2 linked regions of the Arabidopsis thaliana genome follow. The protein of the gene in region 1 purifies or fractionates together with the protein of each later gene. This does not show direct contact. Each region holds a gene or a part of one and is shown on either strand. Other genes may lie near its edges. The genes, in order: PPR336 and AT1G26750.

Region 1 (4,392 bases):
TTTTCGCCAAATTTCACACACTTACATAGAAGTTTTGAGAGATTGAAAAGGACCTGATTGAGGCTGGTGAGAAACCCTTTGTAGACTCTTCCAAAACCGCCTTCACCAATCATACAATCCATGCTGAAATTGTCGGTTGCAGCTATTAGCTCCTTGAATTTGAAGATTCGACCGCAGTTCTTCACGTTCCCATACTTCTTTATCTCTTCCGTTATATACTTCTGCCTGCAGCTTCCTGCATTTATCAATGTTCATAAACATTTTCAGAAACCAAATGATATGTGATCAAATCTTTGAGAAGATTGAGTTAGATGAAGAAGAGACAACGTTTACGAATACCTTTCCGATGTGAGCGAAATGTGAACAGTGCAAAAAGTTTACGGCTATGGCCTCTATAAGCTGTAAGACCTTCGTCAAATGAATCTCTAGGCGAATTAGGTCCAAGCTGATGCGGGTTGATGAAACAAGGACAAAGCTTCATCATTTTCCTTCTTCTTCCTTCCTCTGTTTGTTTTTTCTTTTCTGTTCTTGATTCTTCAGACAAAAACAAATCCTTTGTAATGAATCCCCCAAGGAAAGATTCGATCTTGTCTCTCTTACCGATCCTTTCAGATCCAAACCCTGTCTGGGCAAAACGAATCTGAAAGAAAGATCAGATCTTTCCCAGGAAAATGATGTTGCATGACACGAGAATTTAGGGGACGATCACAAAGTTTTGCTCTCTCTTATTGTTATATATGAATGTTCCCATCTCTCAAATTTGGATAAAAGGATTATTCTTCTTTTTCTTATTTTTAGGGTTCTCTTCTCTGTTCGTGAATAAGCCAACGCGTCTCTCTCTTTTAACAAACTTCCAATCAAATCTTTACTCCAAAACACATTAGTTCGTGGTAAGCATGTAAACATTAAACTTCTTTCTATATTATATAGTCATCATACTATATAATATAAACATAGGAAGACACTTAACATTGCTACAATGCTTTGACCAAATCTTACAGATAAACTGCTCAACATCTCTCTGATTCCAAATCCAAAAACTAACAAGATAAACCATTAATCTATAGCTACCATGATGAGCAAAAGATTACTATCTTCTAAGAAGATATAAACTTATTTCATTGCTGACAAATGAAGAGAGAAAATTCGTAAAATTTTGAAAATACCGATCTCGGGAACTATCTTTTGATTCATTGCGGTAATGCGGCTTCGACTTCGTTCCACAACTCAACGTTTCTAGTGAACTTCTCTTTCACTTGCCCAATAAGCTCCTTTGCTTCTTCGACTTTCGAATCCTTAGCTAGTCCGTTAACAAGCGACTTCATGATACTAAAACTCGGAACCCAATTCTTCTCCATACTCTCTTTACAAAGACTCAAAGCCGTCTCAAAGTCTCCTCCTTTGCATAAGTAATATATAAGAGTGAAGTAACACTCACTATCAGGCTTACATCCTCTGTTCACCATAATCTTAAACAACTTCTTCGCTTCCTCGAAATCATCTTCATTACAAAACCCGTGAATCAAATGGCTATACGTTACCGTATTCGGTTTCATCCCTGCAGATAACATCCCATCAAGCAAAGCCTTCGCTTCCTTAGATTTCTTCCTCTTACACAAACTCTGAATCCTAATGTTATAAGTCGAAACACCGATATTAACACCACGATCTTTCATCATCGCCAACACTTTCCCTACTTCATCACTCTTATCCTCTGCATAAAACCCAGAAATCATCAAACCAAAGCTTGAACTATTCGGCTTTATCCCTTTCCTCTCCATCTCCGCAACAATGGAGTACGACGAACTCGCTGAACCGGATTCACAAAACACTTTGATCATACGATTATAAGTCTCGAGATCAGGTTCAATTCCATACATCTTAGGCATCTCAATGTAAACTCTTTTAGCTTCTTTGTAATCCTTAGCTACTAAACAAGCAAAGAGAAGCGCGTTTAAAGACTTCACCGTACGAGAGATTTCGAATTTCTCGAGATCACGAAAAACTCTTAAAGAGTGATCAAGCATATTAGCTTGAGCATACAAAACAATGGCGTGAGCAGCAAAACGTTCCGATTTGAGATCTGGTCTGTTTTCGATGAATCCGTCGAGGAGATTCGATACAGCGGAGAAATGTTTCTTCTCGGCGAGATTCTCGACGGCGGCGGAGAAAGCGATTCGATCTATGCGGCAATCTGGAGTAAGAGAAGCTGCACGGCAGATTTCGAGGATACGATCTGGATCTTTCTCGGATTTGAGAAGAGAGAGAGCTGCTTTGCTTTTTTCTTTGCTTGTGAGAGGAGTTTTTGAATCTGGTGAGAGGATTGTTGAAGCCGAGGAGAGTGATCGGATTTGTGGTGATGCGTTGAGGTGACGGAAGAGAGATGTTGATGAACGGATTCGAGAGAGTAACGCCATTGTTGTTTTCTTAGGGTTTTAGATGAAGAAGATGACTGTGAAATGAAGAAGAAGACGGAGACTGGAGAATTAGGGATTGTTAGGGTTTTTGTGTTGTGTAAAATCTAATCATAGCCGTTGATGGGTATTTTAAAAGTCTTCACAATGGACGGTTGAGATGAAAACGAAAATTAAAAAAGTTGAGATCCGGATTTGTTCGGGGAATTGAACCCGACGTGAATCGAACACGCAACCTTCTGATCTGGAGTCAGACGCGCTACCATTGCGCCACGGATCCGGTAATTAATAGTCTCTCTAACTTATATATATTGCAGAAGATAAATTGTATTATGGTGCGAATGGTTGCTGCGGTTGAGGTGACAAATCTGGTGATGAATAAGTCACACACGCATACGCTTCCCATAAACTACTTTTTTCTACTTTAATTTCTCGATCTTACAACGGTCCAAGGCTAGAAATAAGGGGACTAATCAGATTGGTTCAGTGTTCAATCCAAGCGATTTTCAACTGGTGAGAGACTATCTTCGAAATAAGGTTGAAAAGGGGCAAAACAGCTCCATAAGAGATTGTACCAAGTCGAGTTGTGGCTTCTTCAACACGTAACACCACATCCTTTCTTCAAGTTTTAGAGAGTGGTTCTATTTTATTCCGAGTAGACAAGGATGGGACGAATAGACCGCAAGATCGCAAAGTACCCGCAATAAACGGAGAGAGCGAAGGCGGCACTTGGAGACCCATTGATTGGAAATTTCCGATCGTTGACGAAGCCGAGATGTTGATAGGTTACAGGGAGAGTTTCGTGTACCGCAAGAAACAGAATTGTAATTCCTATGGAAGTATACTTGGTTCATGACTCAGTATTATTCCCTTTGCGATGATCACAGCTTTGTCTTGTGCAGGATCCGACACCAGAGAAGATAGATGGAAGATGGTGTTTTCTTAAGGTTTAGCTGATGCATTTGATACGCTTGTGATTGGTTTTCTTTTCATAGTAAGATTGGTTTTTCCTCTTAGATTCAGTAATGTTAGGACCACATATTTTATTGTCCATTGCCAGTTTAACTTATGGAATTAATTAAAACTCCAACTCTCGATGGTTGGATTCATTTAATTTAGGGAAGTGATTGGGCCATTGTATTTGGTCCTAACTCCTATTAATCAGACGTTGAAAAGATACCCTTTCTTCTTCAACTTTTAGCTAAAAACTGACAGAAGTTGGTAAGAAGAAACAACTCACTCTTTATTTTCATATACAATCATACACTGAAATAAACTTTCAACTTTGCTCCTATATATTCTAATCTCAAATGTCCATCAAAAAAAAAACTCCCACAACACCAAGAAACCAAAAAAAAAACTCAAATTTCCAAGTCATTAAATAACAAAGCGATATACATTTTTCGATTGAAAAACGAGAGTTTAACAATTGAATATGCATCTTACAAGTGATCATCTATCGCCATATTTCGGGGAAACAAAAATTTTGATTTCAATCTGACCTCAAAACTCCCAAAAAAAATAAAAATAAACAAATCATTTCATTAATTTATTTATTGCTTCAAAAGCGGCTCACGGCTCTCTTCCCACTGGTCCAATCTGCTCGAAGCTTTCTCAACCTAAATTACAAAATAAATTTAGATTAATACCACGATTCATTGAATTCCATCATTATCATATCTACCAAAACTCATACAAAGATTTGTGCATAAAACTTTTCATTATAAACCTAAAAATGCTCCTAGATTAAAAAAATAAAAATAATTTACCTCTTTGTCCCAATCAGTTCGTAAAGTGACAATCACTAAGATTATTGTTTGCATTAAAGTACCACCAATCATCCCAGTCCATATTCCCTGCACCATATCAAACACACACATTAAATATTACAGCTATTATTATTTAATAAGGTACAATTATTGTAACCAAATTTACATGAGAAAAAATTTACCTTAGCTCCCATATCATAAGTGAAGCC
Region 2 (3,845 bases), about 14 Mb from region 1:
ATGTGAATTCTCTGGTGGAAGATGCGGTTTCAGGTAAAGTTATGGGGAAGAACAAAGAGTATTACGGTGTAGGGCTATGGACTTTAGCTTCATTCATCAACCACTCGTGTATCCCTAACGCAAGACGTCTTCACGTTGGAGACTACGTGATTGTTCATGCCTCGAGAGATATCAAAACAGGGGAAGAGATTAGCTTTGCTTACTTTGATGTGCTTTCTCCATTGGAAAAACGGAAAGAGATGGCTGAGTCATGGGGGTTTTGTTGCGGATGCAGTAGATGCAAGTTTGAGAGTGTCTTGTATGCTACCAACCAGGAGGTTAGAGAGTTTGAAATGGGTTTAGAGAGAGGCGTAGATGCAGGGAACGCGGTTTATATGGTGGAGGAAGGGATGAAGAGATGGAAGGTAAAAGGGAAAGATAAAGGGTTGCTGAGAGCATCTTATTGGGGAGTTTATGATGAGATTTATAACTCAGAGAGACTTATGAAAAGGTGGGGAAGGAAGATACCAACAATGGAAGTTGTGGTGGATAGTGTCTCTGATGTTGTTGGAAGTGATGAGAGATTGATGAAGATGGCTGTGGAAGGGATGATGAAGAAGCATGGAGGTTTCAGTAACATTGTGGAGATGGAGAAAATCATGAAGCTAGGGAAGGGGGTTTATGGCAAAGTGGTATCGAAAAAGAAGGCAATGAAGACTCTTCTTGGCATAGAGTAACAAGTTACAAATGTTGAAACTAATTGCTTGTAGGATCAATAGAGAGAGTAACCATTTTGGTTTTCTGTAATTCCTTGCCTCATGGAAGGAAACATCCAATGATATTATTACAAAGACATTCAAATGGAAATAACACTTGTTTTGTTGCAAAACATTTGTAGTCAAAGAATGTCATATATGAAAAAAGCCAGTTCTACAAAGAAATTGGATGAGTAGTGTGCATAAAAAGAAAACGATGATTTTGAGTAATTTATTCGTCGATCCAATTATCCTGATTAGCACTTCCTCCGGTTCTGTCTTGCAGCAACACATCTTTCTCATTTTTCAACTGGTTAACTAGCCTGCGGACGCTAGGAGTCTGGAAGCGATCCTTAGCGGATGTCTTCGATTGAGTTATTAACCCTTTCTTGGCACTAGGATACGGTTTAGGAGGTGGATCCTTATCTTGCATTACCGCAAGCTCCTTTAAGCGTTTGTATGCTTTCTTCATTTCCTTTCTCTCTGAAAGATATTCCATCTGAAAAATCATCAAAACACAAACTCAGCAAGTTCGAAGAATAACATCTCCCATGTTCAAAGAAACGGCATCAACAGCAGCGGTACTACGATTCATATCTATTCAAGTATCGTAGCTAATCATAGACTGTGAAAAGAAAATACGTACATTAGCTACAGACATGGCGTCACCCTCACTGATGCCATGCTCCTTCAATTCAAGTACCCGGCAACCATACACACGTGCTTGATCTGGAATAAATGCTGATATCCTAGGTAATTGAAGATGATGCAATGAGAGGGAGATAGATACAGAATGAAAAATGGTGAAACTCTCCCATTGAATCAGAATTTAAGAGTGACACGTGCTTATAGTAATGGGTTCAAGACAAAATTGTTTGAAATTAAACTTCTTTCTATAGTGATGCATATCAGAATAAGCTTTATGAAGAACTAACTCATAACATAATCATCAAACTATCTTTGATACAAATGCAGAGATATAAAAAGTTGAGAATTTTACTTGGCAGGGTCATCAATTTTGGTTCCAGGATGCTTATTAGCGAATTTACGAACGTAAGGATCCTCAGGGAGAACAATCTTCTGGATTTTTCCATTGGAGCGAGGAAACACAGGAGGTGGTGATCTGCCATTAAAACCAAATCACAGAACACTCATTTCAACAAAACCCTCAAAATCCTAATTCACAGATGCCAAAATCTCAACTTTTTGTGCGATTAGAATTCAATTGCATCCGAATTAGAAACCCATTAACGGATGATTCAATAAGGAAGTATCAAATTGATCAATCGAGCCAAATCATTTGGAGAAATAGAAATGGGAGAAGAGAGGGTTACGCTTCCATGGCTTTAAGCCAAACAGGCTCTCGTGTAGCTAAGCCACCAACAAGCCTCCTGGTTTTGGAAAGTAAATCACCTTTCATCCACGACATTGTTGCTGAGCTTCTTCACTTTTCTTCTTCGCTTGATCTGTTATTGTTTTACCAGAGACGACGAAGACACAAGGGTTTCAGAAATGGCTCGATTTGATAAAACCTCATGGTTCATGAATTAAACCGGGTACATCACACTCTAAATTACGGTCTAAAATCGGTTAACAGAGCAATTGTATGGTTCGTATGTCAAAACGCAGCCGTTTCGTAAATACATTTGCCTTGATAAATTTTCACCTCTTTTGGGTTTCTTCTACTAGTCTTCACTTCCGTCAGCTATAGCTTTGGAGAAACTGCATCAATGGCGTTGAGATTGACATCGCTAAAACGCGCCGCGGTTGAGTCCTGTCGCATTTTGGAAACCCGAAGCTTAAGTCATGTCGCTGCGATGCCTTCCCCCTTGAACGGAGCTTTTGATCGCCCGATTTCTATGCCGCCGCTGGTTTTACCTGAGTTCGATCAGAATCAACCGGGTTTGATCGAAGAAAAGAGCTTCGGGTTCGGGCTTCCTAGTTTTGCTTTTAATGGATCCATGGAGCTAATGGCTGTGCCTAAGAAGAAGGTCAAAGAACTCTCAGTCCCTTAATTAGTTTTCTCCTTTCGTTTTCCACTTCTGAAATGATAAAATTTCTTAGGGTTTTGATTTATTGTGGTATCTAGGGTTAGCTTTTTTGACGGAGTCAGGGTTTATCTAGGGTTTTAGGAAGGTGCACTATAGGACTTATTAGTTGATTATGCAATTGAGATACTAAGTGCTAGATTGCTTCTTCTATAGAATCTATCTAAGAAATGTTGTCTCTTTGTGTGTTTTTGAGTGTCCATTGTTTTTCCATTTGCTTGTGTATCTTTGGGTTTAAGTTGATTTGGTTCCTTACTTCCTTTAGGTTCACATGTGAATGAAAATGTGTAATTTTTAATGGCTCCTTGGAGAATGATAGTGTTAATTGAAGCTGTTCTTGATGAAACATGCAGATTTCTAAACACAAGAGAGGGATAAGAAATGGTCCAAAGGCTCTTAAGCCTGTTCCTGTGATCATCCGTTGCAGGTAAGAGATTAGCTTCTCTTCTTTTTCTTTTTTTTTTTGTCCGCAGATTAGCTTCTCTTCTTGTTTTATCTGTTTGATGCTTCTTAATATATCCATTAGGTTGAGTTTGGTATGGGTGTTTAGTTTTGAGGCTGTGATAGAAAAATTCTGTTAGGTTTATCTAGGTTGTTGTTGCTGCAGCAACAGCTGAAGAATAAATGCATATGCTTTGTGATTCATTGTCTCTCCTAACTATCACTTGGTATAAACTGCACTTGAGTAACTAGAACTGTGTATCGTTAACATGTTTGACGAAAGACCTACTTGTGTGCAACATGGTACAAAATATGAGTCTAGTTGTTCGGTTTTGGTATATGTTTGATTTAAAACTTCTTTTGTTTTCATGATCTCATTGTGAGGGCACTTGTATCAGAATTTTATATATGCCGCCAGTTTAAGTGCACACTCTTTTGTGTTTCCAGGAGTTGCGGGCGAGTCAAGCTGCCACATTTCTTCTGTTGCAGCGGTGAGCGGCTAAACCCTACTGAGTAAGGCAATTCGAACAACTGGTCATGGTTTCCAATATGATTACTCCTTGTTGGATATCAAGAGGATAAAATCTTGGCTTTCTTAGTAGTACACTAGAATGATAAAAGA

Evidence for each region.
Region 2: the proteins of PPR336 (region 1) and AT1G26750 fractionate together in Arabidopsis thaliana (co-fractionation; one large-scale study listed by BioGRID). This does not show direct contact.

What each region holds. Positions count from the first base shown.
Region 1 is NC_003070.9:22,864,136-22,868,527, forward strand, and holds PPR336 (pentatricopeptide repeat 336), read right to left. Parts: upstream 2,532-4,392; 5' UTR 2,418-2,531; coding exon 1,191-2,417; 3' UTR 816-1,190; downstream 1-815. Other genes in the region: AT1G61860 (Protein kinase superfamily protein), read right to left, coding at 54-235, 340-484; AT1G61890 (MATE efflux family protein), read right to left, coding at 3,968-4,033, 4,184-4,270, 4,366-4,392.
Region 2 is NC_003070.9:9,245,175-9,249,019, reverse strand, and holds AT1G26750 (uncharacterized protein), read right to left. Parts: upstream 2,164-3,845; coding exon 2,069-2,163; intron 1,858-2,068; coding exon 1,735-1,857; exon of another isoform or gene 1,484-1,734; coding exon 1,381-1,483; intron 1,234-1,380; coding exon 967-1,233; 3' UTR 746-966; downstream 1-745. Other genes in the region: SDG35 (SET domain protein 35), read left to right, coding at 1-716; AT1G26740 (Ribosomal L32p protein family), read left to right, coding at 2,465-2,725, 3,136-3,209, 3,671-3,740.